Lepisosteus oculatus: one gene and its partner. The protein of the gene in region 2 purifies or fractionates together with the protein of the main gene of each other region. This does not show direct contact. Links are inferred from orthologs where the notes say so. Each region holds a gene or a part of one and is shown on either strand. Other genes may lie near its edges.

Evidence for each region. The genes of interacting proteins can lie anywhere in the genome.
Region 1: the proteins of arhgef6 (region 2) and pak2b purify together in Homo sapiens (affinity purification with mass spectrometry; 3 studies listed by BioGRID and IntAct, counting the BioPlex papers as one, with this or other methods). This does not show direct contact. The link is inferred for Lepisosteus oculatus from reciprocal best matches to the Homo sapiens genes ARHGEF6 and PAK2.

The regions. Positions count from the first base shown.
Region 1 is NC_090708.1:10,584,983-10,592,771, reverse strand, and holds the start of pak2b (serine/threonine-protein kinase PAK 2b), read right to left. Parts: upstream 3,133-7,789; 5' UTR 2,866-3,132; intron 1-2,865. Other genes in the region: pigx (phosphatidylinositol-glycan biosynthesis class X protein), read right to left, coding at 4,261-4,428, 4,853-4,953, 5,619-5,832, 6,512-6,647, 6,844-6,925, 7,717-7,783. UniProt on the Homo sapiens protein: Serine/threonine protein kinase that plays a role in a variety of different signaling pathways including cytoskeleton regulation, cell motility, cell cycle progression, apoptosis or proliferation.
Region 2 is NC_090703.1:49,178,873-49,186,999, reverse strand, and holds the start of arhgef6 (rho guanine nucleotide exchange factor 6), read left to right. Parts: upstream 1-4,959; 5' UTR 4,960-5,285; coding exon 5,286-5,450; intron 5,451-6,370; exon of another isoform or gene 6,371-7,992; intron 7,993-8,127. Other genes in the region: rbmx (RNA-binding motif protein, X chromosome), read left to right, coding at 181-297, 578-695, 794-925, 1,030-1,121, 1,911-2,230. UniProt on the Homo sapiens protein: Acts as a RAC1 guanine nucleotide exchange factor (GEF).

The DNA.
Region 1 (7,789 bases), on a different chromosome or scaffold from region 2:
ATACATATCACAACCCTGAATTCAGTAATGATAATAACATTTAGTGCAGTTTAAACAGGACTGTTTGGTGCAGCAGTACCACTGTTTAGTGATGGTTTGACCAATGCATTTAAATTAAACTGATGCTAGTGGTTGTTGGGGCACCATGGGACCCTCTAATTTACTGTAAGTGGCACCATACTAACAAAAACTGACATTGTCTGTCCTGGGCTCTAAAGCCTTATTAAACCTCCCCCAACGAATGAAAGAGAAGTTCCATTAAAGCACAACAGGTGCTCTACTACAATTCAAACAGAGAGCAGAATGGCTGTAATAATGTCTGAACTGTGAACCCAGGGGCACTAGCTGGAGAGCACTACCGTGTTGTATAGCACCTAGCATCAGCTGCTGTCATCTGCCAAGTTTTGAAAGCCAGCTGCTGGCTGGCTATGGAGCCTGGCGATATGTTCTACAAGCCGATGAGGCCAGCTTTCATTTCCAGGAGGACCGTCTCCCCCCGTGTGCCTGCCACAAAGCCTGCACTAGAGTGACTGTTTACAGGAAAAGGGGACTTTGAGCCTTTGTATTTGCAGCAGTCTATAAAAGGAAATTCTGAACGGTGCTTCCTGGTGTGAGGTAACCTGCCCCCTTCCTTTCTGTCTGCGAGTCCCATTTCCCCTTGGTGCCTGGTGAAAACAGTGCGGTCTCTCTCTCGGCAGACACATGACACTACTACTCGACCCAGAGGCTCCCTGGGCAGTTCTCACTGATGGAGTGTGTGTACCAGCCTATCTGCTGTCCATCAGCTTTCTGCATTGCTTCACACCCGGGATACACCGCCACCAACCCCTCACGTAATTTCCTCCAATTCCTCTAAAAAACATCTACAAGGAAAAAAAAAAAATCACATTTTTTGCAATCCATGCCCAACGTTTTACCTCGGCTCTGTGTGGCGACAAACTCCAGGAACTCCCTTTTTTCAATAAAATAATGAAAAGAAAACAGACACTGCCATGATAAAAAAAAAGTACATTGCTTTTTGTTTTCACCAAGGTTACAATGGGCTGGCTGAACAGAAGAGGTTATTCGTTTAACACTACCTATCCAAAAGAAAGCAGGTTCCCTATAACATAGAAATGTACTATACTGTTATGCTACAGACATTCAAGTTCAAGTGAAAAAACTGAAAAACGAAAAGTAATGCAATATAGCCAGTGTGGTTTTAACTGGCAAGTTCTCTTTTCTTAGAGCTCTGGTTACTCCACTCACTGAGAAATTGGGCCCTTCTTCTGAACAAGGATAGTATTTTCAAGTGGGCTTAATTTCAAACCATATATACAAACATTACATCACACCGTGTGTGGGAATATTAACACAGGACAGGCAAGACTACATCATACCTATAACCTGCTTCAGCTGTAAAGAAAATGGCCAATAATCCTATAACTTTTAAAAGCAACCATGACTTTTCTTCTAGGAACTCTGCATACTCTGTGTAAAAAACATTTGGCCAGGTGTGCAGGACATCAAATATGGACATAAAACTTAAAACTGTTTATTCAAAATGTAACTAATGAAAGGTTTTGTGCTGTGCTAGTGGCTAAACACATGACTTTCATAATGAGGTATTCGAATGCAGTGCTGCAGTGTCAAGAAAGCACTATCTGCCAATCTTCTTAACTAAATCTCCAGCAAAACATCAGAAACACGCAAAACAAACCTTTTGTTAAACTAGTTCAGGTGGGGAGCTGCGTCAGCATGCGTAGGCTGCAAAGGAACAAGTAATAGGTTTATTCCAAGCTGAAAAGAGAAGAAAGAAAACAACGTTTCTGCAACATTTCGGCTGTATTTCTCACACCTGAAGAAGGCTTCACAGCCGAAACGTTGTGTTTTCTTTCTTCTCTTTTCAGCATGGAATAAACCTATGACTTGCTCCTTTTGTTAAACTGCACTGAACAGCTGATAAAACTCAGATTAAACAGTCTTTGATCAGTTTTGGGGTTTGCAAGCTGTCTTCTCACATGGGTCACCAAGAATGTTTTCTTTTCTTAGAAAAAAAAACACATTACCTCTCGTGGCTGAACATATACAATTTGGGCCATAAATACTTAACTCTCATTAGAGCTTGCACCTTGAACACCAGAGATGGATTAAAATGTATATGAAATAGTGGTCTTCTGAGCTCTCCTCCATTATTTACGATTTTCCTGTATTAAAAAGAGGGACTGGGGAATGACTTATTGTACCAGTCAATATTCTCGTGTATTTCCACCATCCCGTATTATAGTTCACAAAATTAAGTTGAAAATATGATTAATAAAGTAAAATCAAAGAACTGCAATTCGGTGTTAAGTGCAATGGAAAAACGGATAACATTCATTGTCACATTCAATATTACATTAACTGAAATCAGTCGTATCTTGAGTGCTGTTATAATAAAAATTTCCAATGGTGATACATAAACAAGAGTGGAAGGAAAAATGCCAAATATCTCCACTAAAAAGTGTTTTTAGATTATTTTAAATCCTGTTTGTGCAAATTCACATTGAGAGAGCATACACCTGTATTGTTCTTTTTAGACAAAATAAACTATAACCGATTTTTTCTGCTAAAATAAATGCCAGTGACATTTGTCGTCTGTTAAATAAATTCAAAGACTACTTGCAACAATAAAATACGTAATGAAATACGAGACTTTTCACCGATTTCAACTCTTCTGTAAAACTTTTTATATCACGTTTCCGACATAAAGAAGCTACCGGTGTCCTGCCAAATATCACATTCATGCAGTTTCTCGGCAAACATAGTATTTTCGAAACTTACACAATCCAATTTATAAAATATACGAACACCAAAGCAAGTTAAATAATTAACTTCAGGACTCACCAGGCGAAACTCTCAGCTCCAAACTTCCACAAAACTCTTTAGATGCTAGCTCCGCCTCCTACGAGAACCGATAATCAAGAGTTCAGATATCGTTTTTTTAAAATACCACTATTTGAGTGCACTCCCCTTCCCAAATTCTGCCAATACAATATCCAAGCAATTTCTTTCTTTTTCTTGCGTTCCTTTTATATTCTTTTATCTTCTTAGACCGGGACAAACCCGCAATGGCGGAGGGGAAGCGGAACTACCGACCCAACCCAGTGTCGGATGACATTAGAAATTACAATCTAATTGCAATCTGTGTTTTTTTCTTCAGGAGGAATTTTTAACGTTTTAACGTGTGTTGCCTGCTCACTGAAACAAACCCACACGTTTGTAAAAAAAAAACTAATGTTCAGAAAACAAAGACAGCGGGTCCCTGCAGCGCTTCGCACGAAGAGCACTATGGGAGATGTAGTTCTCTCTTCCTCTCGTAGCGTTTTCTGGAAATAGGGCGGTGAAGGAGTCGGGACTGCTTTTCCCAGGAATACACAGAAAGGAGTAGTGTAGGATGTATGAAAGGGAATTGTAGTTCTTTCAGAGTGGTACAACAAGTGCAGGGCATGGTTTTAGAATGAAGTAATTTCACAATTAAATCGAAGCAAACTTTATATACCAGCTCCAATATGTTAAAAGTGCCACCAAAAGCATTCCAAACTGCTCTACAAAAAACAACAGTAACGTAGAAACGAATTAATACTAGGCCTGGACCTGCACATGATCATTACTGATAGCACAACACTAGTCAAATAAACATGATTTTTTGTTCCAAGTCATAATTCCCCTATGACCATTAAATCCACTTAAGGTGAATATGATGTGGATTTTATACATTAATGTTACATTTTTAGTATAATGCATATTTTTACTTTTTGTTTTTGTAAGTTTGAATGTGAAACATAGTTGCAAGGGTGCAAAACAATTTTCCCAACAAATGTTACAGAGTATTAATGAAAGACAGGGAAAAAACTGCTTCAGCTTTGAGGCCTTCTTCAGCTGTGAGCAAACAGATAGTTTAATGTATAAAGAGCAACAAAGCTTGACACCATTTTCGAGTTTTTATTTACTTTTCTGACAAATACAAAACTCCCACACTTAAAGAGATATGTCCACCCAATGCAATGCTAACATGCGGTGTACACGCCCAAAAGACAAATTCACACCAGATGTAGTGGCTGATTATTCTTAGTAGTGGTAGTAGTTTTGCATATCTGTCATCATTTAAGTTTAAACAGAGAATCTACAAATATAAATATGAAGCTTTTAGAATAAATTATTATACATCAGATCTAATGTTTAAAATCCTTTGTCCAGGCAATCACAAACACTTTGGAAAGTCCCTTTGAGGACCGGGCGTCAGGTCCCCTGGCTGACAGGGGGACGAGACTGGAGGAATTCATTTCTCCACACGGCCCCTGCAAGGTAGCCACAGCTCAGCAGGGTCACGAGCAGGGTGGCAGCGGAAACCAATCCAACCAGTCGCATGTCCCCCACGGGGATCTCCAGGCGCAGCGGCCCAGGCTCCTGAAGAGAGTGAGAAGATTGGGCAGCGAAATTTATTTCAGTTTCCGCACAGACCTGATTTCTTAGTGAGACATCAACAGTTTTTTGTTTTTTTTAAGGAAATCGTTATTGGTAGAGTTCTTGGTAACTGAACCCAAGTCATTATGGCCTCCCCTGGTCAAAGTCTCCATATGAGCGGTTTGAAGCTCATCAAACAGATGCCAATGTTACACCCAAATTATCAAGACGGCAGGACAGTACCATGACCAAAGCACCCGAGACAGTAACTATTTTCTGAGACCTTCCTATTTTGCAGCCAGCAACATATCCCATGCTTAAAACTTAAAAATATCTTAGGAGCACACCCAGTAAGAGAGGATAAACATGCATAGTCATTTCTTAGCCCCAGCAGTAGGACCACAGTGACAGACTGGCGACAGTGTACCTGTGCAGAATGTATCTGCAGCCATCTGCACATGCTGTGATTAAGAGCTGTACAGGGGGCGTCCGTCAGTGTATAAGGGATGAAGTTCGGAGGCAGATCACCTGCAAAAAAGCACAAAGGGTCTGCTTTAAGAGGCACGTGTTTTTCTGTACTTTGAAAATACTACAAAACAGTAAACAGCACAAGGAGTAATGTGCTTTCAGGTACAGGATGTTGTACAATCTTTAAATTTAAAAACTTATTCCAAAATGCAAAGTAAGGTATTAATTCCCACTTATTACTTACTAGTAAGTTTTAAGAACAACCCAACAAAGCACAAAACAGAAATGCAATTATATAATGAGTGAAAGCATTGATTTGTATTTTATATTGTTGAGGAAAAGCACTTGTGTTGTATGTGTAGATGTGTTTTCATCATCAGATGACAAGGCAAACAGGAAATAAGACAATTACCCCAAAAGCATGTTTATTAGTGAGTACGGCTCCACAGCTGAGCCTTTTCTGTAGTCTTCAATTTTCTGTAATTTGATTGGAGTGACCGATTCATATTTTTCTGAAGGTGATAACGGATCATGCATTTATTTGAAATTACTCAAGAAGGCTTCTGTTCCTGCTTTGAAAGCTTTTAACATCAGAGACAGACATGTTATTAGTCTGCCCCTGGTGAAACATCATAAAGGCAAAAAAAACTGCTTTGCAAACTGACACACATAGGTCACTATATCAAGAAGAAAGTGCTGCCAGACACACAGACCCGAGGACTCACAGGAGTCTGCTCGGAGCAGCAGGTGGGGGTTCTCGATGTCAATCGGGGCAGTTCTCTTCCCGGAATCTGAAGGACGATGATAGCGCCCATGGATTGGCACAACTGCCTTCAAGCACACAGGAGATGCAGGGTCCCGTGTGGGATAAACTAGGGCAGGAAACGCAGAAGAAACATACGCCGGGGCTTCCACATCAATTTCTGTGTCCAGAAGCACCTGCACAAGGAGATGGAACCCTGTCAGTCCAAAAGAACTGTAAAATTTGCCACCTGATCTCTTTAAAAAAAATGTGGGGCTTCTAAAAGATCTCCGATATTTAATGTGACATAAATGTACTAAAATAGTTATGCATGGTCATGTTTTTTGTTGTTTTTAAAGAGAGTCTTAATCATTTGGCATTTTTAAATCGCTCAATTAACTAGCACTAACCCCCAAGGCATTTTTATGAAATCACCTGACATGAGCTCACCTACCTTATGCAAGAAACTACTGTCCTTAAAATGAAATGAATGCATGTGCCCAAAAGAACTGCTGGTGTAAAACTCAGACCGTGACAGGCACAGCAAAAAAAGTTACAAGCAGAGGTTAATTCCACTCTGAAAAGTAAAACAAAACAGGAAAAGATTTTGGCTGTGGAGGTTTCTTTAGACTTGGCTCTACCTCTCCCCCACCCTAAAAAGAGGCTTCACAGATTACGTTTTTTTTTTCTTTTGTTTCAAAAAGACTAAAAAATTCAAGCAATAGCTTCCTTGTAATGTTGAAATGGAGGGGAAAGAAGATGAAACTTCAGACTAGTACCAGGAGAAAGAAAATCCTCTATACTCCGTATTTGGTGCAGCAAGTTGTGGTTACCATGGTGTGATCCTACTCTCACTACTCCTGTAGTGCCTGTTACCTGTAAGCCAGTGTCGTGTTGTTCTGATGTTAGCTGGTAAGGGTCAATGTAGATTCCTTTGGGAAGCCTCTCCACCAGCAGGAAATGCAGGTTTTTGGGAGACCCCAGGCCACAGCATACACTGGTCACAAGCTCCCTAAATATAGAGCCACAGACTTCAATATTTCACACATATTGCTTACTGAAACTGAGCCATAATGCCCACGGCACATTAATGAAACAGCATGACTAAATCTCACTTCCCTGCTCACAATACAGGTGGCTCACAATACAGCACTGTGTTGTTGTGTTTATAGGCAACTGAAAGATGTATTTCCACAATAAGCAATCACCTGTGAAAACCATTTTTCCTGAGTTCCCTTGACACTGTGAGTGATTCCAGCCATTCCCTTGTGAAGCCACATCTTTCTTCTCCTGCAAAACAGACATCCAGTTACATACCCCAAAACCCCATGTTAAAAAGTTCAAATTAATTTCTGTTTACAATCTTTTATGCTAAGAAGCAGGTGATCAAAGTGTATGAGCTTATCTGTGTATCAAGGTGTATCACTTTGAATATAATATTTAAAACTGCTTCCCAGTAGGTAAATACAAATAAACTTAAATACTGTCAATGCATTCACTGCAAATGTGAAAACAAATGCTGTCAAATTCATGTCCTGTGAAATCAGTTCACTTGGCTGTTCAATCTACTGGATTTTTAATAATACCAGAAATGTAACTAAAATTGGGGAAAAAAAGCGAGAACATTCAATCGATTTATAACTACAATTTGAGTAACACGTAGACTATATTCTTGGGGCAGAATTAATCCAGATCAGACGGTATAATTAACTCAGACTCAGCGTCTCAGGAACAAAAGAATTCACTTCTCGATTTCAAATACAACGTTAGCGTCTTGAAACACGTCAATTGGAACTGCGATCTGTCGTGTTTTTAAAGAGCCTTCAATGAACTTCTGTTAAAAATCATACACATGCGGGTTCTCTTTACAAGGTACAAAAAACATTAGGATTCATTTGAATAATTGGTCGTTGCTAAAATGTTAAATGTTATGTATAGACTAAGTACCATGATCGTGTTTATTAGTAGCAGAATTTCCCGATATTTATACTGAATATTATATTTCATCGTCTCTCCATGACCTCGCTCTTTTTCTGACTACCGAGTCTGATTATCTTGTTGCCAAAAAAAAGTGAATTTACCTGACTGTAAATCTGCTTTAAGGAGCGCTGGAGCTAAAATAAATGCAATTAAATAAACTATTCTCATGGCGTA
Region 2 (8,127 bases):
GAGGGGGGGCTGCATTTAAGTTCTTGTGTAGGCTGTGATGGAACAATTGACTTTGATCAAATGAGCTGAAACAACTTGTTTGTCCTCTAAGAAGTTCTGAGCTTACAGGGCATGGTGGCGGGGGGGGCAGGATGTGGTTTTGGGGGTGTCGCCTTAACTGAAAGAACTAAGAGTTTTTAGATCCCTTTTTTAAGGGGATTTCATCCAGAGGCCCGCCGCCGATGAAGAGAGGACCCCCCCTGCGCAACGGGGGACCCCCACCGAAGAGATCCGCGCCGTCGGGACCAATGGGTTGGTGTGAGTTTGTTTTTGTGATGGAGGGTCATACGGGGTCTTGAACTGGTCCGCTGCTTTTGACAGGATCCGGTGGGTTGCGCGTGCTTGGCCGTGTGCGTGTCGGAACGCTACTTCTTCCTAAAGTGACGGCGCGTGCAAGACGTGAAAACAGCATTGATCTTGGGAAGCCTTGTTCCAGGTGTAGTCGGTATTTGTGGCAAAGGGCAGGCCGTGCTGGGGTTTATGTAATCTCTGACCCCTTGGATCATTACCGATTGGTGTAATCTTTTTTTCCCTTCAGCTCCCATGTCTCGGGAAAGAGACCCCTATGGCCCACCACCACCTCGCAGAGATGCCATGCTTTCCAGGAGAGATGATTATCCTTCTCCAAGGGATGATCATTACAGCACTAAAGACAGGTAAAGCTAGAAGATGCCTAAATTACTCTCGATTGTTTGTGTATGAGCTCAATTTTGTGGCTGGCTTTTACTAACGTTGTGTGCTCTTTTCCCTCTAGCTATTCCAGTCGGGATTACATTAGTTCCAGGGATACGAGAGATTATGCTCCGCCCCCAAGGGATTATGCGTATCGGGAATATCCACACTCCAGCTCCCGTGATGAGTATGGGTCGATGTCACGTGGCTACAGGTATTGTTGCTTCAGCGAGGTTGTCAAGATTTCGTATGTGCTAAGGTTTCTGGCTTTCAGATAGACAAGTGCACTTTGAACTGACCAGTCTCTGTATTTTAAAGTGACCGTGACAGCTATGGTGGAGGACGTGAACCCAGGGGTTACCTAGATCGCCCAAGTGCTGGTTCCTACAGAGATCCTTATGATGGTTACGGTAAGACTATGTACTTTGTGGTGTCTGGGTACGCTGTCCTAGTAGGGAAGACGCCTGTTGTGCACGTTTAAGGTTCTTGTTGGCCTGGAGACAATGCGTCTGATGTCTCAAACTCCTCCAAGGGGAAAACCAGTGCAGAATGAATTGCAGACCCGAACAGAGCTCAATAAAGAGAGCCTCAGCAAATGCCCACTTCTACAAGGAACCTTGCACGGTGACCGATTTCTGGAAATGTAATTTATAAAGCGCCCGGTCCAAAAAAAAAAGCAACCTCAAGAAATAAAGCCAAAAAAAAGTTGTCAGTCTCCTACGCTAAATTAAAGCTGGAGTTCATCAGAGGAAATCCCAAGCCGCTGCTCAAGGAAAAAAAAAAGTACACTGGCATGTTGCAGGGGTTTCGTCATTGTTGCAGTTCCCCCCCACCCCGAAAATCCCTAATTTGGGTATCTTGGATACAGTATAGGCAATCTGTGCCCCCATCCACCTGTCCCAGTCCAAAGTCTTATTTGCAAGTCAAAACAAAGCTATAGCTTTACCTGGGGGAGAGACAAGTGTTTAAAGTTTTGAGAAGTACACATTCCTTTCACGTTAAACGAAAGGTCCGTTTTTAAAAGGAAAAAAACAAGTTAAAATCAACTTGGTCCAGAATGGAGGTGTTAGGAAGGAGAAAACACACACACAAAAAAAAAAACCCCACAACCAAAAAAAAAAAAAACAAGACAAAAAAAAAACTTGCAGAAAATGTTTAAGTGATAAACTTGCCAATTACCTGACCCATTGACCCTGCAGGTAACTCGCGCAGCGCCCCGCCCTCAAGGGGGCCCCCACCCTCCTACGGTGGAAGTGGCGGAAGCAGTCGTTACGATGACTATGGCAGCAGTTCCAGGGATGGATATGGGAATCGCGACAGTTACCCCAGCAGCAGAAGCGACCCGTACTCCGCCAGCCGCGGAGAGCGACTTGGCAGGCAGGAGAGGGGGCCCGCGCCCCCGATTGAGAGAGGCTACCCTCCTCGGGAGACGTACAGCAGCTCGAGCCGCGGAGCGCCCAGGGGCGGCGGCCGGGGGGGGAGCCGTTCCGATAGAGGAATTGCCCGAAGCCGATACTAAAACGGACCACATGAATGACTTGCTTGTACAGGCCTACCGCTTTGCTCTCGGAGAGGAAAAAGAAAAATCAAAAATGGCGATTTGAACTTTGGTGGACAACAATAACGTTTATTTATTGTTGAGCTTTTTTTCTCCTCTCCCCTTCACTACCATAACTGTTCCGTTTGAGAAGAGTAAAGTGAAATGTTTAAATGAGTTTTATTTTATTTTCCCCCCCCCCCCACCCGCCCCTCTCCCCTTGATAGTGCAAGCCATTTTAAAAGTGATAAGTGTTCTGTTTTTGGTTTTTGTACACTAGTGCTGTTAAAACTTGCTGCAATTCCCTGGAATAACATGCCTTTTCATTTACTAATAAAGTTTTTATATCGACAATTGTGAGCGAAGCTCGTGGATGTTCCAAAGATCGATTAAGTGTATGCACAACTCTGCATTTGCCTTTCAAAGCTTTACTTCTGTTAAAGAAATTCCAACAGTCCGAAACCCAAAATACTGACCAAAATAAGAACTATTGGACCTTTTTACATATTAGCGAATGCTGTTATCTAGAATTTTGCTCCTGCAGTTTCATTAGTGGCCCTGTGGTCTCATTGCAAAAAAAAAAAAGGCAAATGTTACTGTTCCAAACTCTTTATCGGTGTAGTTTTCCTCAGTTTGAAAAGGATCCTTCACCATAATGAATAAACAATGGTGGCTTACTACGACCTTACCAAAGAGCCTGACAACCAAAACGCAACCGAATCTTTTCAACACTCAACAGATTTAAACAAGTTGCCTGTGACAACAGATGGTAAGCAAAGCAAACTTTTTCTTTCCCCCCTCGTCTAAATGAAGGGTTCAGTTCATTCACGTGAGTAGCCATCTCCGCAAAGGTTGGTGCTGTAAACTGCAACATCACTATTGAAAGTATCGCCTCAGCTCAACTCAAACCTTTGTAGGAAAAAATGCTGCAGAACGGCAAGCCCCGATACCCCAAGTCTTTTTAATTTAAAGACTAGTCCTTGAAAATGGTCATTGCAGAGCACCATATGAAATTTTTAACTGTATTTTCATCTTTTGGAATTTGCATTAAACCCTAAAGCCCAGAAAAGCTCAAAGGATTTGAGGCCTTTGTATAATGTAAAGGAGTCATTAGTTTTTGTAGTTTCTGCAAGTCTTCGTGCTTATAAATACAGAAATATCCATTTTGGGGAAAAAAGGAAATGAAACCTCTGATGGAATATCCTTACTTGGAACAAAACTGGAAATGATGGATCAAAAACAAATTGGATCGTAGCCTAAAACTGCTCAGAAGATGAGGACTTGAGCCTTTTTTTTTCATTTTTTTTTAAATTTGCCCTACTTAATGTTATGCTGTCGTATTAATGTTGTCTTTTCATTACAGGATGAAAATTGCGGTTTGTGAATTAAGTGGAAAATTAAGTCATGGATTTCATTCATGAGTTGGGTGTTGGTCAGCAATGATCTCAAGAGTTGAAAGGTTAGTTTTCACAATCATTTTCTTAATTGGTGTTTGTGTACTGTTTTTAACCATTTACTTTAATAGACTTCAGAAAATTGTATGCAACAACTCCATGTAACTCGTTTTAATTCTGATTTCTAATCTTTGCTTGAAATTTACAGGTGACTGTTGGTTGATTACCAGACCTCTGTTGTGGTAATGGGACTGGCCTTGGGCAGCATCCTCAGAAGTTGAAGAGGAGTACTTGAGTTTTGGATAAGAGGGCAGTCTGGCTCTTATGTGATGGGGTGGGGTTTAAATCTGGGACTGTATTTCAATAAAAATTCACTGAAATTGACTTGTTTGCCTCAATGACTAAATTTACAATGGAACTAAAGGGTTTCTTGATTAGAGATTAAATTACAAGAATGTCTTTTGGTAAAGGGTTAGAATGCAGGATCTTCTCACAATGGGATAAATGGAAGGGAGTCTGTTAAGCTGGTATTTTAAATGCTTTTCATCCCAGAATGCTTCACATACAGGAAGTGAGCAACTGAAATGCAGCACACAAACACCTGCATCATGTCACTAGTTGCACTGCACAGCAGATCATGTCGAGTGGAAAAACATCCTTCACCAGTGAAGGAGGAACTTTAGGGAGGTGCAAACTGGGATTTCATTGGGGCACCATGTCTTATACCCCTACTTGTGCAAATGGTGCCATGGTTTCTCAACTTCAAGGCCCAGGTATAATGCTCTTGCAGTAGTTACTTAATGGTGGACTTGGCTGAAGGCAAATAAGGTGGCCTTATGTAAGGCAACCTTACATTACTTATGCAACAAATAAAGTTCAGCCTATTTTCATGTTGATTAAAGGCAGTTTTTTTAAATCATCCTTTTTTTCTTGCACAGCCTTTTTATGATGGCATGATCCACCCCCCCCACCTACTGTCACACAGATACAGTGCATAATCAACCACATTTGTTTATTCATGTTGCATTGCGTGATTTAGTTAAGTTAAATGATTACAGCTTTATTTTAAGGGTTTGCTTTTTCTTGCCTTTCCATTTTTTTCTATCTTGGCACGTAACTTTAGTCTACTTGCTGAGCGTTTGAGGAGCTTGGATTCACAGAGCCCTTTTACGGTCGTTCCCAGATCGCATCGGGTTATTTTTAGGCTAAGAAGCGGATGTTGCTCCCGATTTTCCCTTTGCCAAAGGAAGCAAAAAAAAATCGACTTTCAAGTAGCGATGTGATGAATTGAATGTGCAAGGATTGCACAGAGTGAAACCACTGCATCGTTTGCAGAAACGTGATAGGCTCGGGAAGTGGCACGCTCGCAAACGCTGCGAGGCGTCTGTAAAGAAACAAGGGAAGTTAAGTTCCCGTAGGAAAAATAATTTCCTGGCGACGGATTTCCCTCCCAGAGCCCAGACATAACGGGGGGACGAGCGATGGCTACAATGCAGCGGTAGTGCGCTCGGCGCTGCGATTTCAAGACGACAAAAGCAGAAGTGGATGATGATATCGCGGATGTGGGTTATATCTTGAGAACAAGCAGGGGCCGCTCTCGATACAGACTGCGGGGCGACTGCACATCCAGCCCTGGCGTGGCGATGAACCCAGAAGAGCAGACGGTGACCTGGCTCATCTCTTTGGGGGTGCTGAATTCGCCGAAGAAGAACATCGCGGACCCGGAGGAATTTCTGAAGGCGTCGTTGAGAGATGGGGCGGTTCTCTGCAGGCTCATGGAGAGGCTCCTGCCGGGCTCTGTGCAGAAGGTAATAATAAACCCAGCGGCGAGCGCGTCACGATTGCCCTCCTCGCTCGCACGGCGGGATGGCGGGATCATCCGCACGCCCGAGGAGTGCATTGCGCATCCTGGCTTCAATTCTTGCACGGCCGTTTCGCTGGTCGCAGGTTAACCCCCCCAAAAAAAAACATGTTAAAAGTACGAAGACAGAGGTGCGCATCATGGCAGGAAGTTTGCCAGGCAAGCCGTGTCAAAGCATCATCGCGCTTTTTGACAATGATAAATAAATATATATATATAGGGCTCTTGAGCTCAACAAATCTTTTCATTGCGCTTTAATATATAGTGTTAATGTGTATAATGATAACGTTGTTCTATCGTGCAGCTAAAAAAAAAATCCGAAGCTTCAGTTTCCCTACTTCCTGTAACTAGTCGACGGATTTTCCGCATTCAGAATGAACTATAGCATCTTGCGGTTGAATTCTGCGCCTACAGTTCTGTTTTCTACAACTAGATATAATATAAAATATCACCGCTCAGTCGCATCTCTGATATAAAAAGTCCTGACATGTTTTAAATACACGTGCCTCTCCGCAGCCCGATATCTGCACTCCTAGACTTTGTATTTCTCCTCGGCGGCTATTCCTAGTGCATATGGCATTCATCTTGTGAATTCCTTTTAAAATAAACCATCCTTTGTTGTAAAATACTGGCTGTAATTCGGTGCAGATCAACAAGCCTTCTCTGTTCCCAGTTCACGCTTATCGAGAAAGCGTCGCTGGCGCGTACAAGGCCAGCGCTCCGTGTGGAGACGACAGAACGGGTTTCACTCGTTTGCGCTGCTGCAACTGTAGATTTTTTTTTAAAAAAAGATTGAAAAACTATGACAAAAACTTTTAGGACACGAAACTAGCACACAGATTGAAACAGCGATCTTAATAGCCCATGGATTGATATATTGTGCTCCTGTGTTTTTTTTTTTGGAGCCACTTTATTTACAATTCTCTACCTTGACACTGTCTCAAAGAAGAAGTGACACTTCAGGGTGACAGGGATATATATATACAAAGTTTTCAGTTAGAGTAGTTCAGGTGGGCAGCTGGATCAGCATGCATAGGCTGCAAAGGAACAAGTGATAGGTTTATTCCATGGTGAAAGAGAACGGAGGCAGAGAGGGCACTCAGGCGGTGCAAAATGGAGAGAGGTGTCAGTACCTGCCTGTGCATAGAGAAGATTACACGAAAAAAAAAGTCTGTCATTGAGAGAAGGGGGAAGGTGTGAACCACGTTTCTGGACAATTTTCGTTTCTGATGTCTTTTTGCTATGGGAGTTGAAAGTTAGTTTTTCAGCTTGGAGTTGCCCCTCATCCAGGAGAATCAGTCCCCAAATCAGTGTTGTACCGCCATGAGGGGGTACCAAGGCGTTCTGATGGTCAAACAGCAAATGGCAAGACAACATTACCTTCCCTGAAAGAAGGAAGCTGTGGATCTCTGTGGAAGGCAGCTGGGTGTGGGGGAGAGGCCGGCCTCTCCGACAGGAATGGGCTGGGTGAACGGACGTCGGCCACGTGCTTTTGCAGCCCCTCAGAGACAATGGAAATACCTGGGGAAGCTGAAGGCACAACCGGCCAATGTGGACCACAGATGCACAGGTTCTGGACAGGGGTTCGAAGCCATGTGCCGATCACTGGAGACCTGCATGTGAACCTTGTTGCAGGAGCCAGAAACTGCCCATCTTGGGACTCACGGACCTTGCATTCTTCCGAAGCCACAGGACACAGGGAATCTCCATCTCCAGATTCATAACCACCAATGATTTTTTGTTGTTGTTGTTGTTGTTGTTGTATAACTACACAAGTCAGATTCAGCAGCTGTTGAAGACTCGGCTAAAGGCTACAACTCCTGTCCCGCACAAGAAGCAGGCCGGCTCGCAGACGCGCCCCCTCCGAACGCACCCACCTCCGTGGTGCCTTACGGAGGAGTCAGCGCTGATCTGAGGAGCATACCAGTCCCTGTCAGCGCCAGACAGGTCACAGGACCAGAAGACTCAGGCCGACTAATGCCAGGCCGTCCTGCCCATCAGAGTGTCCCCCTCAGACACTGCCAGTCTTGTGCCACCTAATGGAATATCCTGGTCACAGCTGGCGAATCACAGTCTGTGGACCACAGGGCAGCAGCTCTGCCGAGTCCAGCAGAGGGAGGCGATGAGGAGGGCGAGCTCTCAGTGCAGCCTGGAGCAGGAGAAGAGAGCCTTGTTGTTCTCGCTGAGGCGTCCTGGCCTGCAAAGCAGTTCTGTTGAGGAGATACGGCCCGAGCTGCCGGCTGGACACTTAGATTAGCGCGGGGCGACCTGACCCGAGTTCAGGGCCGCGTGCGGGCCCAGGAGCGGCATCGGGGACCTCAGCAAAGCAGAAGAAAGTGTGCAGAACGAGAACTAGCTCCTTTTCTTACTCGTGGCTAATTGATCCAAGAGCCTGAATCAGCAGTTCCTTAAAACATGCGATGGTGTCGGCCTCAGCATCGCAACCGGGACAGCTGGTTCCACCCTCCCTGCCTGCTTTCAAAACACAGCTGGAACAGAAATGGGATCATTTAGCTACTGACTATAACAGGCCACAGGAGGCCAATGGCCTTATGTCGTTAAGGTTTGCCATTGTAAACCCCAAGTAAACTGGAATGTGATATTTCTCCAGTTTTCTAGGGCTT